Callithrix jacchus: one gene and its partners. The protein of the gene in region 1 interacts with the protein of each later gene in a pairwise test. Links are inferred from orthologs where the notes say so. Each region holds a gene or a part of one and is shown in the gene's direction. Other genes may lie near its edges.

Region 1 (3,500 bases):
AAATTCATATTTCATAATACCAAAGTTATTATAATTTTAAGTTATGAAACTTTGTTTCAAATTTTGAGAGGTCTCATTCTGTGTTAATGCCACAATAATACCCCAAATCTAGTTAAAGCAAACACATAATTATTTAACTTCTAAGACAAGAAAAAAGAAAGGCTACTTTGTTAATAAAACATTTATGCTGTTTTTTAATAAACTCTGGCAGCTGAAAGCTACAAATCAGAAATACACATGCATTACTAAGAAAAACCTGTGGATCAGATACCCATCAACAGTAAACTGGGTAAAGAAAATGTGGTACATATATACCATGGAATAGTATGCCGCCATCACAGAGGATAAGATTACATCCTTTGCAACAATATGAGTAGAGCTGGAAATCATTATTCTAAGTGAATTAATGTAGGAACAGAAAAATCAAATACCACATATTCTCACTTATGATGAGAGCTAAACACTGAGTAAACATGGTCACAAAGAAGGGAGCAGTAGGCACTGGGGCCTACTTGAGGGTGGAGGGTGGGAGGAGGGTGAGGATGGAAAAACTGCTATCAGTTATTATGCTGATTATATGGGTGACAAAATAATCTGTATACCAGACTCTTGTAACATGCAGTTTACCTGTGTAACAAACCTGCACACATACTCCTGAACCCTTTTTTTAAAAAAAGAAAAACCTGTAGATCTACATAATTTCTTAAACTTTAAGAAAAATATATCTTACTGAGATTAACCTTTCCAAGTATTCTTACTGAGATTAACCTTTCCAAGTACTAATTTTCCAAAGATTAGAAAATTTTACTCTCAAATTTTGCTTTTATTTTATAAAATGTGGGAAAAAATTTTAACACCCATCTTTGGAACTTCTTTATGTAGGCTCTCTGAAATATAGTTGTGAAATTATAGGGCAAAGTTGAGCAGTAGCATCATTACATACATAGTAATTTTCCATATCATTTTTTTGTCTTCAGATTTTTTTAGAGAATGTTTTCCCAAGTAGAAATCACTTTTTTATGTCTCAAAATTGCTAAATTATTTTGAGAAACTATAATTATGTACTTAAAATGTAAGTTAAATATATACATATATTAGCACTCTGTGTATATGTACACTAAATATATACACAAGTGTGTATACTATAAATTCTTGTATTCTTTTATATATGTACAGAAGAAAAGGAGCATTTCTAATTGATACTGTATGGCCTTCTTTTTTTCCCTCTATAAATAGCCTGAAGACATGTTTGTTTGTGATATAAATGAAAAGGACATAAGGGGACCTTCGCCATCTAAGAAGCTAAAAAAAAGCCAGTGTACTCCTCTTTTCATGAATGCTTACACAATGAGAGGTATGTAGAAAATGTATTCAACATAAAGAATATTTGCAGAGTAGACTCCTCTAAATAATGGTCATTATTATTCAGTTAACATTTTAGATACCTACCATATGCAAGAACTTGAAGTGCATAAACGTACTCGATGCTCACATCAACCCATGAGGAAGGTCCATTATTCCACTTACCCTCCTGCCCACCACCAACTTATTATTCCATGCCAGGAAAAATAATCCCATAACCATATGTAAATATTTGTGTAACTATATGGACTTTTTTCTTTAAAAGCTGTAATTCAGTCTTCATTGAACATGTGGCTTTCTTCTTCCTCCTTCAGGAGCAGGTGCAGTGATTCATACCCACTCTAAAGCTGCTGTGATGGCCACCCTTCTCTTTCCAGGACATGAGTTTAAAATTACACATCAAGAAATGATAAAAGGAATAAAGAAATGTACTTCCGGAGGGTATTATAGGTATTTTTTTCTTTTTCTTAAATAGTTTGAAAAGAATTCTTCCTTCTCTTTGACGAATAGAATACTGATCATTTTATGCATATAATGAGTTGTCATGGGATCTGTGTTAAATAATGCTCCATTTAGTATTATACTTCCAGATCTATTCTCGTGACACAAATGGGATGTCTTCCCTGCTCTCCCACCCCTACCCCAGCCGTGGTAAATTAATAGCAGTATGAATAATGAAATGTTTGTATAAGTAAACTGAAAAAAATCTTGGCTTAGATTTCTGTCATGATGGAAAGACTATGTTCCTATAATGAGGCACCCAGATATCTCTTCACCTCTACTTTGTCTTCAAAAGTGTGAGCCGTGACTAAAGTTTATACTTCATGACGATTTAATGTAGTATTTCTGAAATATTTCCATATTTATAAGTTTTTTAATTAAAGTAGGTCTCTATATTTTTAGAATTTTTCAATGTGAAAGGTCTTATACTTACTATATGGATAGTAAGTATAGAAGATTACCGTTCTAGATGAGTTAAAATAAATTCACCAGCCCACAAAAATGTAGTAATTCTTCATAATTCTAGAACATAATGGCATGAGGAAACATGTTCTCAGTGTTCAGGGACAAACTAAGCATTTCTTTTGAGTTTATTAGCATTCTCATTCCTGAACCTTCCACCCTTAATTTCCTAAAGGGCTTGATTCTACCTTGCCTTGTTTAGAGGAAAACATTGCCAGTTTTACTAAAGTGTTCTTACTGCGATAACATATTCTTACTGCACGTAATAGAATGTACATGTTTAAACTAGTGCACTGAGAAATTTATTTGATTTCAGTTAATATTTATTGTGTGCTTAAAGCATTCCTCAGCACTGTGAAACACCTATTTACAAAAGTTAAATATTTAAATTAAGAGAAGTGTACATACTGAGGAAAGTAGAGCCCCAGATTGCTTCTTCCATATCTGGGGCTGAAGAAGAGGGCTTATGGTTGTTATCAGTTTCATATGAATTTTATTGTTTTGGTGAAGAAATAAAAATAGGTTAGAAGAATTAGTTTTTCTGAAAAGAGGGAAAAGGTGAGGTAGAGGAAGAGAACATAAGAGAGAGCCTTTGCAATTTTGTGGAGAGGCCAAGCATGTTGGCCCTTTGCAATATTGTTGGACCTAGCTGGGAAATGAGTAATAGAGTCATTATCACAGCTCAGGAGGCAGTGTTATTTTATCTGAATTTGAAGAGAATCCTAAGTCTAATCAAAAGAAGGGCAATGAAAGCTGGATGAAGTAAGAAAGGATGGAGTTTAAAATTCCCTACTGCATTTTTTAAAATCTTTTATAAAAAGAACAACTTTACCCAGTCACATGTCACTTCATGATGGGGATATGTTCTGTGAAATTGTCACTAGGTGATTTCATCACTGTGTGAACATCAGAGTGTGCATATACAAACCTAGACACTGTAGCCTACTACACACTTAGTCTATATTATAGCCTATTGCTTCTAGGCTACTAGCCGGCAGAGCAGGTTACTGTACAAAGTACTGTAGGCAGTTGCAATGCAGTGATAGGTATTTGTGTATCTAAACATAGAAGATGTAAACAATAAAAAGTGGCACACCTGTGTAAGGCCCTTACCCTAAACGGAGCTTGTAGGACTGGAAATTGTTCCAGGTGAATCAGTGAGTCAGTAGTGAGTA
Region 2 (4,252 bases), on another chromosome or scaffold:
CTTCAAGTGGCAAGAGGTCGCCCACTTTGTTATCGGCAGGCCAGGGAGGGGAAACCAGGACGTTCCAGGGTCTCCAACTCTTTCCCATCTGCTCCTCTTTCAAGAGAAGGAAAAACGGTGCCTTACTGTCTTCAGACATCGCAAGGATCACAAAGATTTCTTTCTTCATGACCCTGCCCTTGCCAGAATTTCCTAGGCTGTTCCACCTCATTCAGCTTCAGGTAGGGAAAGGGATTAGGCCTGGTTCAAAGTTTATTAGTTAATTTCGTTTTATTTAAAAATTGATATCCTTGTGGCTTTTTCATCTCCTTGTAAAAAACTGTCAAACAGTACTGGAAAATAATGCAAAACGTGGCGGAGGTTTCTGTAGGAACCCAGGTTGTCTCAAGCAGTTACTTTGTCCTGCCTGCTTTCCTTTGTCTCTGGGGTGTGAAGACCACGCTCAGCTCTTTCATTGCACTCACACCTTGCACTCACACAGCGTACTCCTCCCAAGTACCTCTGGATGGGGGAAGGGAGGCACATTTCAATTTTTTGTGGAGGAAGTGACAAGGAGGCAGCTGGTTCTGGCCGAGGGGTTCCTGAACCCATCACACACTGAAAGTCCCTACGCGCTACCAAACTCCTGGCTCCAGGTAAAAGAGCTTGCCGTCAGGTCAGCAGGAGATGCTGAGAAAACGAGACGTTGGGAGGACCGCCTGGCTAGAGAGGCCAAGGAGGCGGCAACTCTTTCGTCACGTGACCGGGCCTCGTCTCAGCCCGGGTTTCCCCAGTGCCAGGGCACGTGTGAAGGTTGGACCTTCCGATTGGCTCGGCGGGACCAGTTTGAACGGAGTACGGGAGCCGCGGCGGCTCACCTAAGGCCGCGTTTTTCTTTTTCTTTTTTTTCTTTTTTTTTTTTTTTTAATTCTCTCTCTTTGGCTCCCTCCTTTCGCGCGAGTCTCTGGAGAAGCCGCAGCGCGAGGCGCCGCCGCTGCTGCCCGGGGCCGGGTAAGTGGGCCTCACTGAGAGCCCGACCCTCTTGGCCCCAGCTTGCGTCGACCCCCGCCGGGCACCGGGCCTGCGCCGCGCGCGGCCCGGGCGTCGGGGCCGCGCCCGACCGGGAAAGGCCGGGAACCCGGTTGGGCCCGATCCTGTTGGCAGCGAGAACGGGCCGGGCGGGGGAGGGGGAAACCGAGCCGAGCTTGGGGGGTGGGGCCTCGGTGCCAGGCCAGGTCGGGGCTTCGCGAGAAGAGGGCCAGTGGGGCTGCTGGGGTCGGGCTGGAGGGGATCTGATTGGGGAAAGCGTCTGGGGACTGCTTGGGGCCTGATTGGGGGACGTCGCGAGGATCGGGTGTGTGTAGGGGCCTGTTTCGGTGGGCCTTGGTTGGGTCTGATTGGGGGAGGCCGCACTGAAAAGTTGAGCTGGGCTGGGGGAGGGGAGCTTTTGGGGCCCTGACAGGGAGGGGCGTCAGACTTCGGCTTAGAGGGTTTTCCTGGATCTGACTTCGAGGCATCGCTGGGATCGGTTGAGGGGAATGCCCCGGGGGGTGTTCACCCAGGCCAAACTGGGGGAGGCTGCTAGGATCGGACCAAGGGGTTACCGACTCGAGGTGGTGGGGGGCTCCCGACTCAAGGTGGTGGGGGCCTCGGTTGAACTTGATTGGGAGAGGCTGCAGATATCGTCAGCAGGAGTTACTGCTGACGGAGGCGGAGGGGGTTTCAGGGAGAGCTTGGCCAGACCTTATTGGGGAAGGCTACTGGGATCGTCCAGGGGGCTCCTAGAGTAGGTTGGGTGGGCTTGGCTGCCTCTCATTCGAAGAGGCAACGGAGACCTATCGGGGGACTGCTTTGGGCCTGATTAAGGGGGATTGTTAGAATCTGACTCGGGCACAGAGTGGGGTAGCTGGCATCCACTGAGCTTGAAGGGCCGGGACAGGGGAGGCAGAAGAGATCAGGACGATCGTCTTGGAACCGTGCATCTGAGGAAGCTCATAAATTGGACTAGGGCAGGCAGCCTCTGGGATCTGGTAGAGGTTAAGGGCCGGGTTTCTGGAGAAGGGGACTCTTCAGGGACTGTGCCTGCACCTAAGAGACCACGGGGGCCGGGGCGCTATCACGGTCTGGGGCGGGGCCCCTGGATGTGGAGGCGGATGGGCCCTCGCCCAGCCGCTGCGAGGGAGGCGGAAGCCTTCGGGCTCGGAGTCGGGGTCGGCGGTATGGGCCACCCTGGGACGAGGGCTCTTCGCTGGGTCCCATGAGGATCCGCCGGGCCCCACCGCCGCCGCCTGTAGTTCACTTCCACATCCCCCCTCCCGCGCTCCCGATCCCGCGACTGCGCGGCCGAGGATGGCGCAGCTGGCGGGGACCCCGCACTTTGGCGGGCGTGGATCGAAGGCCTCTGCCTGTCCGCCGAGGGCGTTCCCGTCGTCATGCGGCCACCGCGGCCTCAGGGTCTCCACCTGGGTCTCACACGGAGCCCCAGAGACCCAGCGCTGACCCCGGCCCCTACCCCCGCAGCTTGCCTTGCGCCATGGACTGGCAGCCAGACGAGCAGGGCCTGCAGCAGGTCCTGCAGCTGCTCAAAGACTCACAGTCGCCCAATACAGCCACTCAGCGCATCGTGCAGGATGTATCCTTCCTTCCTTCCGGGGCTGGGGGGACCGGGTAGATGTCTGCAGTTTCTGAAGGCCAGAGGGAGAAAGAGAGGGACAGACTCCCCGCCAGTCCCTAGATTTTTTTCTGCTGTGGGGTGGATCTGCCCCAGAGAAGAATTAGAATTCCTGGGTCCCATTTCCAGAGCTGCAGGGATTATTATCGAAAATGATGAAAATTCCTAATGTTCATTGAACACTAACATCTATTCCATTAACTATTAAGGTAGGACCTGGCCCAACAGCGTGGCTCATGCCAGTAATCAGAGCACTTCAGGAGGCTGAGACAGGTAGATTGCCTGAACCTAGGAGTTTGAGACCCCCCGTCTCCACAAAAAAATAGAAAAGTTAGTTGGGTGTGGTGGCATGCCCCAGGGGATGTTCCCTCTCCTATTTTGTAGGCTGAGGTGGGAGGATGGCTCGAGGCTAGGAACTGGAGGTTGCAGTGAGCTGAGATTGTCCCACTGTACTCCAGCCAGCCTGGGCAACAGAACCAGACCCTGTCTCAAAAAAAAAGATAAATATGCTTGGCGCGGTGGCTCATGCCTGTAATCCCAGCACTTTGGGAGACCTAGGCAAGCGGATCACCTGAGGTTGGGAGTTTGACACCAGCCTGACCAACATGGTGAAACCCCGTGTCTAGTAAAAATACAAAATTAGCCTGGTATGGTGGCTTGAGCCTGTAATCGTAGCTACTCTGGAGGCTGAGGCAGGAGAATTGCTTGAACCCAGGAGGCAGAGGTCGCGGTGAGCTGAGATCATGCCATCACACTCCAGCCTGGGCAACAAGAGCGAAACTCCATCTCAAAAAAAAAAAAAGATATATAAAGATAAAAATTTTAATTCTTGGCCAGGTGCGGTGGCTCACACCTGTAATCCCAGCACTTTGGGAGGCCAAGGCGGGCAGAACACCTGAGATCAGGAGTTTGAGACCAGCCTGACCAACATGGAGAAACCCTGTCTCTACTAAAAATACAAAAATTAAGCCAGGCATGGTGGCGAGTGCCTGTAATCCAAGCTAATCTGGAGGCTGAAACAGGAGAATCGTTTGAACCTGGGAGGTGGAGGTTGTAGTGAGCTGAGATCATGACATGGCACTCCAGCCTGGATGACAAAGCAAGACTGTCGCAAAAAACAAAAAAAATTAAATCTATAAACCGTGAGCATGACTCACCCTAAAATTTGGATTCCCTCTTTTTTTAAAACAAAGCAAAACAAAAAAGCACGGCCTGCTAGTGGGGAGAGCTGACTAGCAGCTGCCACTTTAAGTGGAGTGGGATTCTTCTTCTGTCTCCTGCTCTGACTGGGTCTTCCGGAGTGGATGGGAAACTCAGATATTCCACCCAACTCCTTGTATGAATTTGATGTTTCTGAGGTGCTCTGTGGGCTTATTAGGGGTTTGATGAGCGGGATCCCCCAGGAGCTGGCAGCCTGGTCCCAGGGGTCAGAGATGGTGTCACGTACATAGTGAGGGGCCTGGCCTGGGGAAGGCCTCTGTCTTCGAAGTCCCTTAACAGCCTGGCAGAAACTCAAACAACTCAACCAGTTTCCTGACTTCAACAACTACCTGATTTTCGTCCTGACCAGACTCAAGTCAGAAGGTATGCCCTCTGCTCCCT
Region 3 (4,092 bases), on another chromosome or scaffold:
CTGGAAAAGACTGTATCTTTCCATCATATATGATGCTTAGTTTTGCTGGATACAAAATTCTTGGCTAATTATTTTGTTTGAAGAGACTAAAGATAGGGCCCCAATCCCTTCTAGCTTGCAGGGTTTCCCACTCATTTTAAAGGAGAAACGTTTACCAGAGTTGTTATTTAGCATAGAGGCTATGTGGAAGTTTGTATTAAGAGCTGAGAGGCAATAAAATTGGTAACTGACAGGAACTATGCTCGGTCTTTAGGATTTATCAGCTTTGAGACTCCTGAGACTGGAGAATCCGACTGTGGATAGCTAAAATCAATGTAACATCTCAGTTTTTATAATGAGAAGTGTACCCCCATTAGCTATCTATGCTCATTGCAAATATGAACAATTCAGAAGACTAAAGTGTAAAGTGAAAGTCCTTGAAACTTAAAGTCCCTGATATTAATACCATTCATTCACCAGAGATAAACACTATTTTAACAATATGATGTCTTTTCTTCCAGACTGCCAGTAATTGAACAAATATATGATTAACACATAAAGGATACCATATGAACTCTTTAAACTTCTAAAATTTACTGTATCAGGGAATTAATATACCTTTTCGAGCCAGTAGATATAGGTCTTCCAATTAAAAAAATTAAGTTACAATAGAGTGAGATTTGGGGTGCTATCCTTTTCGGAAAGCGTCCTCGATGAGGTCATATTTGGAATTACCCTTCACGCCCCACGTCTTCTCTGGGCTCCCGCGGACTCCAGGCTGAGTGCTGAATTGTGGATTTTCATACCCAAACCTCTGTTATTTCAGTATCTCACCTGGTTCCTCCACAGCGCAGAAGCGCATCCCAGGTTGGAAGAGCCTCTCCGGGGAGACTCAGCGAAGCGCTATTCAGGGCCCAACTCAAGCCCAAGCCTAGCTCCTCCTCAGGTCGTCGCCAGAGACCCCACTTCTCCCGAACCTCACCGGTACCCCGCCCCTGACTCCGCCCACCACAACACGCGGCCCCGCCCCTCCCCACCCCAGGCTCCACCCACCATCCGGGCTCCGCCTACCCGGAACCACGATGTCGTCCTTGTTCGGGGCTCCGTCCACTGGGAGCTCGCGCCACTCACCCCACCCCCGACCCGCCCATTTAGCTCGGGCTCCACCCTCCCAGGAACCTGCGCCGCTCGCCCCGAGCTCCGCCCACTTCGTCCCGGGATTCCCGCGCCGGGAACTCAGGCTGCTGGCCACGCCCCACCGCGCTCCTGGCCCCGCCACCCAGAAACTGCCCCGGCTGCCCCGCGCTCCGCTCATCCCGCCCTGGGTGCGCGTGCGGGCCGCTGCACGCCAGCCCCTTCCTTTGCTACGTCAGGTCCAGTCGGTCTTCCTGCGGCTGGGGCCCTGGCTGAGCTAGCCGGCCATGGAGGGTAATGGCCCCGCTGCCGCCCAGTACCAGCCGGCCAGCCCCCCGCGGGACGCCTGTGTCTACAGCAGCTGCTACTGGTGAGGAGACGCGGGCGCAGCCTCCGGGTTTCCCCGGCTCCTGGGCCGCGAGTCGCAACCGTGGCTTTCCTCTTCCCGGCCCCTTCTCGCGGGCGCTCCAGGCCTCGACCGGCGGGTTCTACAGTTTCTGCGGGAGGAGGGAGCAGGAATGGCAGCTCTCGTCTCTTGAGTAGAGCGTGGGCTATTGGATGGGGTTGGGAATTCTCCGGAATCATAGGGTCGTTAGTGCATTTCCTGTGCTTGGTGCTTGTGGGTTGGATTTGCTCTGCAGATCTCTGCTTGGGGGCAAGGCAGGGGTGGAGCTCTGAAAACCTTTGGAAGTTACTCTGCTGAAGCTTGTGGGGTTTAGGACTTAGGTGAAGGCTATTTTAATTTTGGAAGAGAATGGAGGCACAGAGAGTTTGGTGTAACTTGCCAAGGTCACCCAGCTAATAACCCTGAATCCAGTTCAGGCTCCCTGACGTCAGAAACCATGATCTTAACCGTGTTGTCATTATAATAATGGTTACATTTACACAGCGCTTGCTTTAGGCCACGCATTATTCTGGGTAGTTTGGGTAACATAAATCACTGAGCATCACAGTCACCCTAAGAGGTAGGTATTGTTATCCTCATTTTAAAAGATGAGAGCACTGAAGCACAGAGGGCTACAAGTAATTTGCGCAGGGCCACGTAGCTTGTGAATGAAGGAGTGGGAATTTACAGGCAGAGTCTGGCCCTGGAGTCCACGCATTGCATTTCTGTCCTAGGCCACCTCTGCAGCTGAAGCACCACCCCTGCCTTGGTACTTTTTGATTCCGATACCTGCTCTTGCCTGAGTAATGGCTTCTTCCCCAGCTTCCAGTCCTTGCACAGGAAACCTCAGGGCTCTCTAAAATTACTCCTCCCCTTTCTGCTGGTCACTAAACCAATGCCACCAAGAGCTTAGCATTTGTTTGGCCCTGATTGCATGTCAGGCTCAGTGCCAGGTGCTTCCATCGATGTGCAGGAGGTAAATTCTTTTATTATCATTATCTTCATTTTACTAATAAAAAGCCTGAGTCACAGAGAGGCTGTTGTGTGCCCCCAGATCATACATCTAGCAAGTGGTGGTGCTGAAACTGGAACCTCTTTGTGATTCTGAAGTTCATGTGTCTTAACTGTTGCACTGTTTTTCTGCCCTGCCTCTCTTCTAAATCCTTTTAGTTCTCCTCCCTAATGTCCATTCATTGTTTTATTCGTTCTTTCAATAAATGTTTGTTAGGCAGTTGGTAATATGTGGTACACTTCTGGGCACTGGGACTATAGCAGTGAACAAAATCGACAAATTCCCTCATGAAGTTCTTGTTATATTTTGATGAGAGAAAAGCAGACAAGGCCAGGTGTGGTTGCTTAGGCTTGTAATCCCAGCACTTTGGGAGGCAGAGGTGGGTGGATCACTTGAGGCCAGGAGTTTGAGACCAGCCTGGCCAACAAGCAAAAACCCTGCCTCTACTAAAAATACAAAAATTAGCTGGGCAGGGTGGTGGGTGCTGGTAATCCCAGCTACTTGGGAGGCTGAGGCAGGAGAATTGCTTGAATCCAGGAGGTGGAGGTTCCAGTGAGCCAGTGCCACTGCCTTCTATCCAGGGCAGCAGAGTGAGACTCCATCTCGAAACTAAACAAAAAACGACAAAAATGAGTAAGCAATGCTTGGGTGGTGGTAAGTGCTGTGAGAAAAATAAGATAAAGCATGGTGACTTATTTTCTATTACGATATTTTGAGAAGACATTGTTATCAGGTGATAACTTGAACAGAGATCTGAAGAAAGAGGGTGAGAGCTTTGCAACTTTTGAAGAATGGTTATTTAAGCAGGGAGGATAGCAGGTACAAAGGCTCTGAGAAGGAATCCTGCTGTGAGTATGATAGGAACAGCTCAGAGGCTGGTACAATTGGAGTACTGAAGTAAAGCAGTCTTGTAGAAGAATGGTAAGAGATGACCACTCTACCACAGGGTTTCTCAGCCTTGGCTCTAGTGACATTTTGAGCATGAAAATTCTTTGCTGTGGGGGCTGTCCTGTGTATTGCAGGATGTGTAGCAACATCCCTGGCCCCTACCCACTAGATGCTGTTACCACCCCAGCCCTAGATGTGACAACTGAAGATGTCTCCAGACATTGCTAAGTGTCCTGTAGGGGTTGGGGGGCAAAATCACCTCTTGCTGAGAACCAGTTCTCTACCCTGTCTGAACACATCAGGTAGGACACCACACTACTTCCTGCAGCTGTGTGTGTGTGTTTTAAGACAGTCTCAGTCTATCACCCATGCTGCAGTGCAGTGGCGCAACCTTGGCTCACTGCAACCTCCGCCTCTCCAGCTCAAGCCATTTTTCTGCCTTAGCCTCCCCAGTAGCTGGGACTACAGGTGCCCACCACCACGCCCAGATAATTTTTGTATTTTTAGTAGAGACGGGGTTCCACCACGTTGGCTGGGCTGGTCTTGAACTCCCAATCTCAGGTGATCCACCCATCCAAAGTGCTGGGTTTACAGGTGTGAGCCACGGTGCCCGGCCATCCTGCAGGTTTTTTAACTTGAAATGAATGCCTCCTGTTTACTTCTGGGTCAGTAGTGCCTTTCCTGTGCTTGGTGA

What was found. The genes of interacting proteins can lie anywhere in the genome.
Region 2: the proteins of APIP (region 1) and TNPO2 interact in binary tests that used the Homo sapiens proteins (3 or more experiments, as listed by UniProt). The two-hybrid records come from large-scale screens. The link is inferred for Callithrix jacchus from reciprocal best matches to the Homo sapiens genes APIP and TNPO2.
Region 3: the proteins of APIP (region 1) and NTAQ1 interact in binary tests that used the Homo sapiens proteins (3 or more experiments, as listed by UniProt). The two-hybrid records come from large-scale screens. The link is inferred for Callithrix jacchus from reciprocal best matches to the Homo sapiens genes APIP and NTAQ1.

What each region holds. Positions count from the first base shown.
Region 1 is NC_133511.1:100,238,247-100,241,746, reverse strand, and holds part of APIP (methylthioribulose-1-phosphate dehydratase), read left to right. Parts: intron 1-1,236; coding exon 1,237-1,354; intron 1,355-1,676; coding exon 1,677-1,812; intron 1,813-3,500. UniProt on the Homo sapiens protein: Catalyzes the dehydration of methylthioribulose-1-phosphate (MTRu-1-P) into 2,3-diketo-5-methylthiopentyl-1-phosphate (DK-MTP-1-P).
Region 2 is NC_133523.1:11,540,068-11,544,319, reverse strand, and holds the start of TNPO2 (transportin-2), read left to right. Parts: upstream 1-1,452; 5' UTR 1,453-2,236; coding exon 2,237-2,611; intron 2,612-4,158; coding exon 4,159-4,234; intron 4,235-4,252. UniProt on the Homo sapiens protein: Probably functions in nuclear protein import as nuclear transport receptor. Serves as receptor for nuclear localization signals (NLS) in cargo substrates.
Region 3 is NC_133517.1:73,988,315-73,992,406, reverse strand, and holds the start of NTAQ1 (protein N-terminal glutamine amidohydrolase), read left to right. Parts: upstream 1-1,292; 5' UTR 1,293-1,400; coding exon 1,401-1,483; intron 1,484-4,092. UniProt on the Homo sapiens protein: Mediates the side-chain deamidation of N-terminal glutamine residues to glutamate, an important step in N-end rule pathway of protein degradation.